2 linked regions of the Elephas maximus indicus genome follow. The protein of the gene in region 2 interacts with the protein of the main gene of each other region in a biochemical or structural test. Links are inferred from orthologs where the notes say so. Each region holds a gene or a part of one and is shown on either strand. Other genes may lie near its edges.

Region 1 (7,122 bases), on a different chromosome or scaffold from region 2:
AACGGGCAGATGAGAGAGAAGAATTATTGAATATTTTGTTCAGTAACTGGTTAATTAAAAAATCTATTCCCCAAAGAGTAGAAAATTCACTTATTTGAAAACCATGTTTCATCCTCTTTAAGTGGGAGGAGGGGTGAAGAACCAACACAGTGAACGCCTGTTCCAGTATAATATATGCTTTATGTATTGTAGATAGATAACAGACACAAGTCCTTTCTCTCTTTCAATTTAATTTTTGTATAATATGCTATATGCTGGGAAGCCAGGGGAGCCTTGGAGGTGCAGTAATTAAGAGCTATGGCTGCTAACCAAAAGGTCGGCAGTTCAACTCCACCAGCCGCTCCTTGGAACCCTGTGGGGCAGTTCTACTCTGATCTACAGGGTCGCTAAGAGTCGGAATGGACTTGACTGCAAAGGTTTTTTTGGTAAGGTCTGGGAAACCAGATGATGAGGTTAGGGAGGGGTATAAAAAAACATGATGTGAACATAAAAGTCTCAGTGGTTCTTCATGGGGAAAATGGTAGAATTCCAGTGAAGAGTGGATGAACTCCACTTTAGCTGCTCACTGGTCTTTTTACACCAAGAAGGGAACCTAGTGAGTACAGCGACATGCAGGCAAGTCAAATTTATCCTTACCCTCCCCCCGCAACGGGCCACAGTGCAAGAAGTTGTCCCAGGACACCAATTTTAGACTAAAACATTACATACTGAGAAAAATAATCAGCACTAAATAAGAAATTATACTATCCGATGATATCTTGTCTACCATATTTTGCCCCCTAGGCTCGGGCCAAGAGGTTTGCTCTGGGTATGTGGCTTTATAACGTATGCATGCACCTTTATATGGACATGTTAAGACATGAAAGGTGGGACAGCTGGGGCACTTACTTAGATTATTATTTTATGTGTTTGGTCAAACGCTGAGATGTGGCAACGTGTTAGACTGCTCTGCTCGTAGATTTTTTTCATTTTAATTGCGTGGTGTTGGGGGTGGGGTGGTGAAGTATAATTAAGCATTTGAGTCCCCTGAATGGTACCCACTGCTGTCGAGTCGATTTCCACTCACAGTCATCCTACATATAGAAAAGAACTGCCCCACAGGATTTCCAAGGAGGAGCTGGTGGATTCAAACTGCCTACCTTTATAGGTTAGCAGCTGAGCTCTTAACCACTATGCCACCAGGGCTCCCTTTGAATGGTGTAGTTCCTTCAATGTCATATACATTATCAACACCAAAACTGCCCATCTGTTAACCATAAACAACTTGAAGATACTGAGACTGGAGAAATAAAAGGCTATCAGACTCACAGATCTCAGCAACAAAGGCCATAAAAATATTGACTTTATTCTAGTTTGAAATTTAACTGAAGGGATAACACAAAACTTTCACTTAGCTATTGAAGTGCACAGTCATCTGGTTAAGGAGGGTGGTGGGGAGAGGGCCTCCCCTTGAAGCTCCTACACTGCGTTAAAAACCCACTGCTGACAGAGTTCTTGAGCATGCCCTGAGTACACCGCGCTTGGTCCTTGCTTTTTCAAGATCAGCAGACTCAAGCTGCCTTCTGGTGTGATTGTGCTTGTGGTAAACTCGCACCTATCTTTCAATGTCTGTCTTCAAATGTATGGCTACAGGTGGAATGGGGTAGGAAAAAGAAAATGAGACTACATCAATAAGGTTATCTGCAGAGACTCTCACAGTAAGAACCAGACAAACATGTGTAATTCAACAGTAATTAGGGAAACTTGCTGAAACTCTGAACCAGGACACTAACACGCCAAACGCTCAAAATCATAGGGAAAAATATACTCAGTCAACTTTAATAGAAAACAGACATCATGTCCTTTAAGCTACCAGCCATAACTTTTTAGAACAGAGTTTATATCGGCAAAGAGCTCGTTTGTAGTAACTTTATCAGCTAATACCCGACTTACACATCTGAAGACTCTTCCGTCTTTTTTTGGGGGGGGGGGATGGTTAGATGGAAACAAAACCAAATGGAAGAAAAAAGCATTTCCGTCCAGAGTTAAGCCACGCTTCTTTTAATGAATAAAAGGCTTATCTGTGCACCTATAAGCTAACACTCCTGCAACCCCACTGAGCTGCTGTCTTCAAATAACAATCTGGCTTCAAAGTTTCGCACTAAATCAGAGAGCTGATTTCTGTAAGACGCATTTGCACCATTAAATCTTTTCTGGGATGATAAAGGTCTCTTTGCTCTTGATGTGGTATCTTCGCAGTCCATGTGTGAGCAATTTTTGCCATCAATATTGCAAAGGTAGCTTTTCGGGGGGAGGGGGCGGGGGCGGTTCAATCTGAAAATGTCTTGCCTAGACTTCCACTATCCTCTTCCCGACATAAACCTGCCCACCCCTTTAATCCCCTGCAAGTTTTAAACTTTGTTTCCTTTAGGGTTCTGTACAAGCGCTCCTAAGACGAGCCAAGAGACAAAGAGCTGTGCTGTGGGTTAACGGGGTGCCAGATATTAGTTGTGAAACAAAGCGGTCAAATTGGAGACGGAAAATGACGACGACGAGGGTGGGGAGGGCTGCAGAACCAGCAGGAGCGCGCGGGCCGTCTCCCCGGCCAGCGGCCCCTAAGGCGGACCCGCGCCGGGGCTGCGGCCCCGGGACAGCCGCGCCCAGTCCCGCCCTGAAGCCCGGCTCGGGCCGCCCCCCGGGGCCCCTCCGGAAGGGGCTGCCCCCGCCGGCCCGCCCGCCCGCCCGCCCGCGCCCCCGCGCCCGCGCCTCTCACCGCTTCACGCGGATGATCTGGTCCCGCATGGGCTTGATGTCCTGGAAGCTCTGCTGGTTGACCAGGCTGTAGACCAGGATGAAGCCCTGGCCGTTCTTGATGTACAGGTCCCGCATGGAGGCGAACTGCTCGGTGCCCGCCGTGTCCAGGATCTCCAGCACCGACGGCGACGAGTCCACCTCGATCTCCTTGCGGTAGAAGTCCTCGATGGTGGGGTCGTACTTCTCGATGAAGGTGCCGGTGACGAACTGCACGGTCAGGGCGGACTTGCCCACGCCGCCCGAGCCCAGCACCACCACTTTGTACTCGCGCATCGTCCCTCCGCCGCCGCCGCCGCCGCCCCCGCCGCCCGCGACATAGACTACGCCCGCCGCGCTGCGCCCCCGGACCCTGCCCCGGCTGCCGGCCCCGCCGCCTCCCGCGGCCGCCCCACCCGCACGGCCGCGGCGGCCCCCCGGGCGGCGGCGGCGGCGGCGGCGGCGGAGGGAGCGGCGGCCCTGGGCATGGGCCGAGCCGGGCGCACTGAGGGCGAGCAGGGAGCGCAGGGAGCGCAGCCGCCGGAGCCGCCCGAGCCGCGGGCCCGCAGTGCCGCCCGCCCGCCCGCCTGGCCGCCCCGCCCCTCGCGCCTCCACGCCCAGCTCCTCGCCCGCCGCCGCCGCCGCCGCCGCTCCCCTCGGCGCTGGAGCGCGCGCCCGAGCCCGAGCCCGAGCCCGAGCCCGAGCCCGAGCCGCGGCGCGGCCGGGGGCGGGGCTCGGCGGCCGGGGCGGGGCCTCGCGGCCTCGCGGCCCCGCCCCGGCCCTCGTCGTCTAGGCGACCAGCCGCGCGCGCTCCCCGGAGGCTCTGCGCAGCGCCGAAGCTTCGGCCCGCGCTTAAATAAACAAGCCCCGCGGCCACTCACCACCACCCCACCCGCACAGCCCACCGCGCCCTGGGGCCTGTGTACTGAGCATGCCCAGTTCGCCTGCCGGAGTCTCGGGTCTTGGCGGACACGGACGCTAGCGGGGCCAGGCCAACCTAATGCAAGCAAAGCAGGGAAGACGTGGGCAGGGGCTCTGCCTGACACCGCCCAGTCTGTCAGTATTTCTCAGGGCTTCGCTGTGGGGATGAAGCTCTGTGTAAGGTGAGGAGAACACCTCCGGCCTTCTGCCCGAGGTTGCATAAACGTAAGGAAAAGCAGCTTTGTTCCCAGCGGCAGAGCAATGACGGACAGGTGACAAGCACCCACGGCCGGAGGAGCTGCTCAGCAGCGGCCACACACACCGCCGAGGCAGGGTTCACGCCTAGCGACGTCGACGTGGATCCCATCCACCTCCCCTCTAGCCCCGCCTCCCACTGAGCGGGACTGAAGGCGAGCTCTTCCCACGCCCTGTCAGCTGCGGGCGCAGGAAAAACCCGGAGCGCGGAGCCCTGCGAGGCCGCCAAGAACACCAGGGATGCCTCAGCAACAGCCGGCTGGAGCATTGAGTAGGAAGCTTGGATTCATTCCAGCCAACCACAACACGTCTCTATACCTCGTGGTATCACTCAGGGCCAATAGGGAGCCGCCTAATGCCACGTGACACCCTTGCTTCAGCCAATAGGGAAGAAGTCTAGTTGCAGGCTCAGCCATCCATTTCCGTATGCCTCTCCAGGCGGGGCGTTTGCGCCTGCGTACTCTCTGCCAACCAATCGTAGGCGAGCTGGTGAATGACGCAGGCTTAGGTTGAGCCAACCACAACTTTCGATTGTCTTGCTACAAAGGCCGGGTTGTATGGAGACGGGACTCAGGGCTGGTGTGGCTGGGGAGGGCGTCAGTGATTGAGGGCTTGGTCGCTGTGGCTTCCTCTGGCAAAGCAACGAGGGTTGTTGCAGAGGAGGGTGATGAATTGAGTCTCTGTGGCGTTCTCCTTCAGTGATGGGCGTGGAAATGGTGTTGAGGGATTGGGGTGAAGGTGGGCTGAATCGCGAAAACAGAAATTTTCCTGTTCTTGAGGAGGCATCGTGCAGCAGTTATGTTGGTCCTCTCTGGGTGCCTCCTAAGGCATAGGGTGTGTGTGTGTGTTTTCCTGTTTTAAAACTTAGGTTATGTTTCGAGCATTACAGCTTAGGTACCCTTCTGCACCCACAGCCCCAGACATCCCTGGATTATTTTTGTAATAACTCGTTGTTGGGTTTACCACCCATAAACTAAGTCCTTCTAAAAGTAGTCTACTCTCATCCATTACTCTCTCACATCTCTTGGGAATAATAAATCCTTTTTTTATAGTCATAACGTTTGATTCTGGCGTGCCTCTCCACCATTACTTTTATACCCAGATTCGACAGTGTCCTAATGCCTTATCACTCCACTAAATTAGAGTGGATGATTCATATTCGCGTTATCTCGCTATATATATAAGATATATATATACAATATGTATATGCACACACACACCACCCTAAGTTTTTGTTTAAGACAAGGAAGTGTCCTGTCAGAATTAAAAGTGTGTAGTAAAATATGCCTCAGTCATTATTTCTTGATTATCATCGAAATATGAGTGTTATATCTGAGTCAGTAGGTTCAGCAGTGTATGAAGGCAAATTGCAAAAGAACTAAGAGGAATAATTTAAAAGAGACAGAAGAGGATCTGATATCTCAACCGAAGGTAGTAATGTGAAATAGGAATTAAAATTGAGAGAGCTCAGTTGAATGCTTCATATCTGAGCACTTTGGCAGAGACATTTCAGGAGGATGTTGTAGGTAAATGCACTGTTCACCTGGCATTTCAGAAGTCTGGTATTTTGTGTGAAACTAGTATTCTTATTTGTAGGTACATGAGCTCAGTCGGTAACAGCTACACTTCTTTTCTAAGGAAAGACCGACTGTCTTTTAAGGTCTGAATTGTCTAACTTGGTGATAATAACTTCCTGGGCTTGGTGGAGGCTAAGGAGAGCCAAGGAGCTTCAAAGTTCTGTCTTTGTGTAGATCATTACAGCCCGTGCAGTGCCTTATGTCGCAGTGGAGTTGAAAATCTGTTCCTTTTGCGAGGAATAAAAAAGGCCCAGTGACTTTTCTTTTTTGAGAAATTAGTGTTGGGATTGTGGGCCCAGTATGTAACCTTAAGCAATTGTTCTCCTTAGCTTGGGTTCCCAGACAATTAGGAGGCTCTGGATTAGAGTGCATCAAACAGAAGTTGTAACAAATATAGGAAGTGGGCTCCTTAGTCAGTCTGCTTCGCATAATGGAGCAGGAGAGGTGTTTGGCATGTCTCAGGCTATTCCTCTGACCTTTCACCGGTGCTGACCTTCTGATAAGCAGAAGTGTAGAGACTGCAGCCCTTGGAGTAACTGCAGTTTGTTTATAGTTCTGATATGGACAGGCCTCAGTTTGCATTCTCAAGTGGCATGAAGTAACTTTTTAACCACTAGGAGGCAAAGGAAATGTGACAGGCAGGCACATGCTTTCTTATCTGTTCTGGCTTGGATCCTGGTACTTACCTGATTGGTGGCTCTATGTGCAATCCTGGCTGAAGGACTAGCAGCCGTAAGGAAACATGTCGGGACATACAGAGAATTTTGAAGATTTGTGTGGGTAACGGCTGTCTGTCTCCTGGTCCCTTCATCATGTGCATTCCTATGCCAGCATCATCTCTCTGTTCTGAGAAACTTTAGAAATCAAAGCTTCTGCCCCCATTTCTTTGTGAGAAAGGCAAAATAAAATTGAGATAAAACAAAATTGAATTTTCGTTTAGAGTTATAAATCTGTGTTAACACTGCATGCTGACCTGCTGGGTCCCTTTAGTTTCTGAAGTGAATTTCTGGGGGGGGGGGTGGGGGGAGACTTGGTCTCTCTTCTCTCCACTGAATCTGAGAGTTGTCTTAAACCAAAACCCACTGCTGTGGAGTCGATGCCGACTCACAGTGTTACAGAACAGAGCAAAACTGCCCCATAGGGTTTCCAAGGAGGATTTGAACTGCCAAATTCTTGGTTAGCAGCCCTAGCACTTAACCACTAGGCCGCCAGGGTTTCTGAGAGTTGTCATACCTATGCCCAAATACCCTCAAGTGCCATCCATGCGTTACCATGGAAACCCAGCTCCTTTCTTCCAGTGAAAGACGTTGGAAAGGTGTAATGAAGTGGGGATACACTGTGTTGTGGGACTTCCTGACATCAGCAAGAAGCAAATATGCAGAGACTTTAATATAAACAAGTTAGCACAGGCCATGTGTAATATGACCGTTGATCTTGGCTGTAAAACCCTGGTTCCTGTTGATTCCTGTTAAAGCTCATCTCCGATTAACCATAAAAGGCAGGGACAAACCGCGTACATTAGCACCTGTGGCACCCTGCTGGGAATTAGAAGGAGAGCAGAAGACATTGTCTTGTTCTTTGAGAAATAGAAATAGGTTAA
Region 2 (7,816 bases):
ATGACAGTCCCTGAAGCTCCTGGAGGCTGTGCCTTTGGAGTCAGCCAAGAAAAGGTCCTCCCCAAAGATTACAAAACAGATTCCATGTCATAAAACTTACAAACACATGCAAAGACACACTACTTAGGCCACCCATCTTGGGCCTCCACTGTCAAAGGTGCTAATGAGCTCTGGGGGTTAAGCTGAAGACCAGAACACAGTAAGGCCAAGAGAGCAGACAACCAGAAAGGAGGCCAGGGGAGGAAATGATGGGACATGGGAGTCATAGGCCTACCCCTTGCCCAACCCTTGGGGCTTATGGGCTGCCTGGGCCTGGTCCTGTTTTCCCACAGCTGCCTAGTCCTGCCCATGCATTTACAATTCCCTTGACAGCGAGCTCAGCCCTATCCTTCTCTGATGCCCACAAGCTCTGCTCACAGCAGGCTCCAGTGAAGAACATTGCTTGTGTCTGAATCCTGGCTACATCATCTCTTGCCATGCATGCCTTTAGGTCAGGGTCTTGGCCTCTCTGACCCTTGGTTTCCTATAAAGTAGGTTGGCACCTGCTCTGTAGGGCTGGCTAAGCCCTATGGAATGAGCTGATAGTGCCTGCAGCCAGCACGTGCTACAGACTTGAGAACACCTCTTACCTGGCTACGGTAGTGGCCTGCCTGGACACGGAGACATGGACCTCTGTGACCTCTAGAAAGCACAGAACTGCCCAGGACAAGCTGGGTCCTGCTTGGTTAGAATCACCAGGAAGAGCGGATGCCCAGATGTGCAACAACATCTGGCAGCCCAGAGAGGCAAGGACTGGGCGGAGGCTTGGTAGGGAAATAGGGCTGGGGGTAGGGAAGGCACACAGAGCCTGGTGGTTTCCCAGAGGGGACAGGGACAACGAGCAGAGCAACGAGCAGCGCTGCTGAGCTCTAGCACGATATAGCAGCCAGGAAATCAGCCTCAGTATGGGAGGGAGAGGGTTGTTGGCAGGAGGGACAGGGACTTCCCCGCCCCCTCCCCTGGGCCCATAGTAAATGGTCATTGTGTTTGGTTTCCGGTAGTGGCCTTCTCTCCTGCCAGGACCCTGGCTTTCCTGCCCCAGCCAGAAGCTTCCCTTTGATTTCTAAACAGCGGCCACGGCCTGGATCCCAGGCCACAGCCTGGATCCCAGCACCAAGGACAGATGAGGGAGAGCAGCAGCAAGAGAGAAGGAAGGCAGATCCCTGAGCAGGGAAGGAGTTCAGACCTGCCTCTCCCTCAGATTCCTCAGGGTGTAGATGGACAGAGAGACAAAAGGAGAAGAGAGGAAAGCAGCCGAGTCCCACCCACTCTGGCCAGGAACCTGCTGGGCCCGTGTGAGTTCAGGCCAGACCCTCCCTGCACACATTATGTCCGAGCGGCTGCCAGACATAATGAAAGCCAGATGAGCTCTGGGCTGGTGTTGGGCCTCCCACCCCACTCCCCTGGGGGCCTGTTCCAGCTGCCAACGAAGACCAGAGCTCTGGGTAAATGAGGGATGGGAACATGTCTGGCCCTGCCACCTGCCTAGCTCAGGAGTAAAGGGTCTCCCAGGCCTGAGTACCCCCTCTAAGAGCCCTGGATGCTTCTTGTCCAAGAGCCCCCGACCTCCTGCCCACTCCCCAAGCTGGACAGGGAAACATGCTTTATCCCTATGCAAATACACATCCAGGCCCTGTCCAGGCACTAGAGATACACGCACAGGACCCAGGCTCTCAGGAGGCCAACAAACACAGCTATTACAATGCACCGTGGCCTGCAGTAATGAAGGGGCTGGAGGAGCACCAAGGGGCCCTAAGCAGCACGGGGACCAGGAGCAGCACTGTTAAGGACTGGCCCAGACAGAGCCTAAATTTGCTCTGAACCCCCTGGCCAGGGGTGGCCTCCGTCAGCCCTCTGTCTAGGACCCACGCAGGGCAGGTAAGAGGCACTGCCCTGCATTTTGCTGCCTCTGTTGTAAGGGAGCCAGGAGCGATTCAGGCTGGAGGTGGTAGGCCATTCACTGGATCCCCCTGCCCAGGGCTCACTACAAACAAGAGTCCCGGCTCCTACCGCCCCCATCCCTGACAGGCACATACACACTCCCTCTTGCCCGAATCCTCCCAAATCCTTAAAAACTCAGGGTGTCAGCGCATTTTCTAATCAAGCAGAAATGAGGACCTTGTCCCCTTCAGCCTGGACACCTGGCCCCACATTTTGGAGTTCTGTGTCTCCCCCTTCCCTCCCCGCCCCCAGCAACCCTGATGTCTCCCTCATCATCAGATCCACGTTGGCCCCAAAGGGGGCTGTTGGGAAGGCCCCTAGGGTCCCAATCGCCTCTGAGGATTCTAGGGCTTTGCCACCCTAACCACTGTCTGCTACCGGAAAGCCTGACATGCCGGGTGCTGGCCCCTCCCTGGCAAGGGAGGTGAAATAGGACCCAACCCCTGCAGTCGGGAAGTTCACAGGCAGTACTGGGGCCACAGACGCAAACAGTGACAGCACCGCGGGAAAAGGTCTACTCCAGTGATGTAGGAGCTCCGGTAGGCACGCTTGGGCTGGCAAGAGCAGGCCTTGATACGGTATTGAGGAGGGGGCACGAAAACCCAGCTCTGGCCCCTAAACAATTGGACCGGGGTGCTGGCAGCCCCCATGCCCACTCTGCTGTCTTGGGATTGAGCAAGGAAGTGGATTTCTGCGGAACGACCCTCGACACACCTATTCTGAAGGGGGGTGACCCACCAAGGAGGGATGGGCCCCCTTCCGCTGCTAGCCCGCGTCAGCCTCGCTCTGCCTGTGTGTCAGTCCGCTCCAGACGCGACCCCCATCGGGGCTGGCTCGGGCCCACCCTGGCTCACCCACCTCCAGGCGCGGCAGATCGGGGTCGAGATGCGTGAAGCTGTGCAGCACCACCGAGCAGCTGTCGGGGACGTCCAGCTCCAGGCGCACGGCGTCCCACACACTACGGCTCCGCCGGGAGCCCGGAAACAGCGGCTCGGCGCTGCCCGCAGGCCCGGCCGCCTCGGCCCACATGCGCTGCACCATGGACGGGTCGCAGCGGCGCGGGCGGCCAGCCGCGGCGCGGGACCCGGGGCGGCGCGGCCGCTGGAGGCCAGCCCGGCGCTCGGCGGGGGCGGCAGCGCGGCCCGCGCAGCTCGGCGCTGCCTGCGCTCTGGGCCCGCAGCCCGGCCCCTGCTGATGTCAGGCCGGAGGCGAGGCCCGGCCGGGGGCGGGGCCCACCGCGCGGAGGGGCGGGGCCCTGGAGGAACAGCGAGGTTGGAGCCGTTGGGCGGGGCCGGGAGAAGAGGCGGGGCCAGAGAAGAGGGTGTGCGGCTGTGTGTGGGTGTGTGTGGTATGTGGCTGTACGTACACTATATGGGCTTGAGTTGTGTACGTGTTGATCTGTGACGAAGCCGAAGGTAAAGCCAGGCCCTGAATTCAGTTCAGCCCTTCCTTGTGGCCCTGGACAAGTTGCTTACCCTCTCTGAGCCTCGGTTTTTTCATCTGGAAAATACGTGTAATGGAAAGCACTTCCTTAAGGAGTTGCTGAGAGGATCACATTAGGTAACTGATGTAAGGCACGGGTGCCGGGGGCTGGCCAGTACTCGTAAGTACTGGAATGGTGTCCACGTGCTGGGTGTACGTGCCTATTTGGAAGTCCTGAGTGTTGTGTTGTGTGCTTGGTGCTAGGCTAAGGTTGGTAGGGGGAGTGTAGTGTGCTACGCCTGCCAGAACCTTTCCCCGCACTATCTCCTTCCAGCACTACAGCTACCATGGGTAGTAGATACAGGCAGAAAGGAGGCAGAGGAGGAATGGTCAGAGGTGGGGGAGAACTGGAGATGGAGTCACCAGGGTCGGGGTCTACAGAAATTCAAAAAGGAGGGAGGCACCCTTTAGCTAAATAACAGATTGGCTCATAAAATAAAGAATATTAGCAGTGAGTACTGTGCATCTTTTAAAAATCATCTATATGAAACCAAATGGTCAACAATTATTCTAAAGCAAAGATGAAAGGGTAAGGGGACAGGGGGAAAAAAAAAGTAGGGAGCAAGGGATCAAGAGTGATAAATGCCAGACAGAGCACCTGTCCACTGGCCTGGTCAGCTGGAGCCACTGGCAACCTTGGTGCCCACTGTCTCGGGAGAGGTCAGGGTAGAAGTGAGGCTGCTGAGTGATGGAGAGGCAGTGGGGTTAGGGAGCCTCAGCTGCTTTTTCCAGAAGTCAGAAAGGCAAAGAAGAGGGAGCCTAGAGGTTAATAGCAGGGTCAAGAGAGGCATTTTAAAAACATTTGTAGAATGGATGAGTGAACATCCACACCTAACCCACTGCTGAGGACTGCCCTAGCCTCGGCCCTTAGTCCTCACAGAGGTGGCATTGCTGTTAGCAGCCCTGGCAATGCCACCAGCCTCCCCACAATCAGTCCCATACCCACTGGGCCTCGGCTTCTCCATCTGTAAAATGAGGGGACAGGACCAGACCACACATTCCACAAACATATCTTGCACATCTATTATGTGCCTATGCCAAACCCCAGGTGTCTGTGGGCATTGGGGTCCCAGAAAGTTACATCCCCTGGGAACCCACCTGGGCAGCTTGAGCACATGCCGGGAGGTTTCCTGTCTGGGCACAAGGCCAAGCATTGACAAACACAGGCACGAAATAATTGGGCAGTTTATATTAAGGGCACTGAAAACGTTCATGCCCTTTGACCGGCCAATCCCACTCTTAGGAATTCATCAAAAGGAAACAGAGCTGTGGACAGGGATTTCTATACAAGAATGTTTATGGAAGCACTGATTACACTGCCAAACTGAACTAACTCAAAGTCCCCACCAGGACCAAATGATGAAATAAATCAGGGGACTCTTGATGCCATACAAGCCATAGGAGAAACAGACTCTTCCACGACACAGGACAATGCATCAGCTATGATTGGGAAGTAAATATATGCATAAGACTAGAAGGATCTACCTCACAAAAGTAATGGTGGTTATTTCTGGGTGGGAGTAAGCATTTTTTCTTTTTACTTCTCTGAATTTTCTAAAATATATATTTTTAGAATCAGAAACATATAATAAATGCAGGGATTCTTGAGGGCAAGATGGTTGGATTTGGTTTGGAGTGGAGGTCCCCGGGATGTCTTCATACCCTGCTGCCTGGGAGGGTGAGGTGCGCAGCAGCTCATTCAGAGGAAAAACTCCTCAAAGGGCAACAAGGGGGTGACCCAGACACTGACCCTCTGACTCCAAGCTTCTCCTCCCACCCCATCTTCCAGGGCCAAGCTTACCCCGTCTTCCAGGGCCAAGCTTAGTGCATCTGGGAATTTGGAACAGGCTGAGTGAACTGGGCAGCTCCCTGCCCCTCTTTGTCTCTTTATCTCTTTCGCAGAGGGGAGAGCCTGGGAAGCAAGCCTGTACCCATTTTACAGCCAGAAAAGTGGCCCATGAGGCCAAGCGACTCACAAGGGTATCCAATGTCACCACCACTCTGCTCCAGGGGTACACGGGTTGGGGGGGGCAAGAAGGCTGGAAAGGGGCTGGACAGTGGGGGTGTTAACCATCACCACCCCTCCCCAAACGCCACAGGCCTGGCTGTATCCCATCCGACTGCTTAGCCAGCATCTACACGGGGAAAGTTCCCACCCATTACTTAACCAGTCTCTCCAGTTGGCGCCTGTCTGTTTTCACAAAGTCCCCCTCCCTGCCTTGTCCGCCTCCACTTTGGGTCTCCCCCACCCCTGCCCAGCTGCATACTCCCACACAGCGGGGCCCTAGCTCCCAGAGTGGCAGCGTAGCATGGAGAGCAAGCTCTGGCATCGAAATATCTGTGCTTGAATCCCAGCTCTGCCTGCTTCTTACTCCGTGACCCCCAGGCAAGCTACCTCACCTCTGAGTCACAGTTTTCTTCTTTGTAAAGTGAGAATAATAATGAGATCTAATGAGATGGCACAGAGGAAGCACCTCACACAGGCCGTGGTGCCTGAGGCCCCGAGATCAGGCAAGCAGGTGACACTGCCTCAAGGCCGTTAGCAACAGGAGCTGAATTTCCTGGGCACCTTCTGTGTGCAAGGCACATGCCCCTTAACCTCGAATCCTCCCCCCAGCTGTGCCATCACTGTGGAAGAACACGGTGACACCCAGGCCAGAAACTGAGCTTGAGTCCAGTAAGGCCTCTACATAGAACTACCAGTTTGGAGGAGATCCGGGGAACAGAGAAACATGTGAAAAATACCGTGAGGATGCAATCAGCGCATCTCAGACTGTGGCAATCCCTATAGGAAAAACCACCCAGTTTCTCCCGTGAATTTCAGGGGTGAAAGCAAAGAAGGGGAAAGCTATAGATCAAAGAAAGGGAAGAGACATCAACTAAACGCAATGCGTGGACTTTGGATCATGATTTCAACATGCTAGCTATTCAAAAAACAATTAAGAGATAACACCGTGCACTCGCCCCTACCACCCTCTTTCCACCATCTTTCCGTGCTGCCATAGTGGTGTACGTGAACATCCCGGCCTACGCTCTCAAGAGCATCAATAGCACCGAGAAGACCGGCAAACACCAGGTTCTTATCAGGCCATGCTCCAAAGTCATCGTTTGGTTTCTAACTGGGATGATGAAGCATGCTTACGTTGGCAAATTTGAAATCATTGATGATTGCAGAGCTGGGAAAGTTGTTATGAACCTCACAGCAGTGATGGGCCTTAGAGTTGACATGCAACTCAAAGACTTTGAAAAGTGGCAGAATAAATCTACTTCTCTTCCATTAGTTTGGTCTCATTATACTGATAAGCTCAGCTGGCATCACGGACCATGAGGAAGTAAGACAAAAACACACAGGAGGGAAAATCCTGAGATTCTTTTTCCAGGGATATAATACACATGTACAAATATAACGCCTCAATGACGGAGACAAAAAAAGACTATGAGGCAACTGGGACTATTTAAACACTACTGGATATTTGATAATATCACAAATTATTTTTTTGGTGGGATAATGGTATTGCAGGTACTATTAGAGTCACATACTGAGCTAGTTATGGATGGAATGATACCCCTGAGATCCGCATAAATATTACCTGCCAGGAGAGGGAGGGCGATAGGGGTGGTAAGAGGTGAAACAAGAGTGACCTGTGCTGGGATGCAGACCCCAAATTCTCATAAGACCAGACTTAATGGTCTGACTGAGACTAGAAGGACCCCGGCGGTCCTGGCCCCCAGACCTTCTGTTGGCCCAGGACAGGAACCATTCCCGAAGCCAACTCTTCAGACATGGATTGGACTGGACAATGGGTTGGAGAGGGATGCTGGTGAGGAGTGAGCTTCTTGGATCAGGTGGACACTTGAGACTATGTTGGCATCTCCTGCCTGGAGGGGAGATGAGAGGGTGGAGGGGGTTAGAAGCTGGCAAAATAGTCACAAAAAGAGAGAGTGGAAGGAGAGAGCGGGGTGTCTCATTAGGGGGAGAGTAATTGGGAGTGTGTAGCAAGGCGTATATGGGTTTTTGTGTGAAAAACTGACTTGATTTGTAAACTTTCACTTAAACCACAATAAAAATTATTAAAAAAAAAAAAAGTGACCTGTGCTGATGATCATTAAATCTGGGGATGCACCACAGCAGTTAATCATGCCATTTTCTTTTCTTTTGTGTGTATTTGGAATTTTCCATAATGATAGTTAAAAAAAGAAAAAGGACACAGTTTGAGACTCACCCTCTGACAACCCTGAGGCTCCCAGCAGCCTTCGAGGGAGGGTCAGAAACCCCAGCGCAGGAGCCATGGCAGTAACGCCTATCAGCTTCACCACTCCCCCATGCTGTCAGGTTCCTGGCTCTGAGCCCACA

The links.
Region 1: the proteins of RALGDS (region 2) and RAP2A form a complex in vitro, tested with the Homo sapiens proteins (2 studies listed by BioGRID). The link is inferred for Elephas maximus indicus from reciprocal best matches to the Homo sapiens genes RALGDS and RAP2A.

What each region holds. Positions count from the first base shown.
Region 1 is NC_064832.1:92,112,726-92,119,847, reverse strand, and holds the start of RAP2A (ras-related protein Rap-2a), read right to left. Parts: upstream 3,090-7,122; 5' UTR 3,067-3,089; coding exon 2,753-3,066; intron 1-2,752. UniProt on the Homo sapiens protein: Small GTP-binding protein which cycles between a GDP-bound inactive and a GTP-bound active form. In its active form interacts with and regulates several effectors including MAP4K4, MINK1 and TNIK.
Region 2 is NC_064827.1:84,192,520-84,200,335, forward strand, and holds the start of RALGDS (ral guanine nucleotide dissociation stimulator), read right to left. Parts: upstream 3,062-7,816; 5' UTR 3,022-3,061; coding exon 2,839-3,021; intron 1-2,838. UniProt on the Homo sapiens protein: Functions as a guanine nucleotide exchange factor (GEF) activating either RalA or RalB GTPases and plays an important role in intracellular transport. Interacts and acts as an effector molecule for R-Ras, H-Ras, K-Ras, and Rap.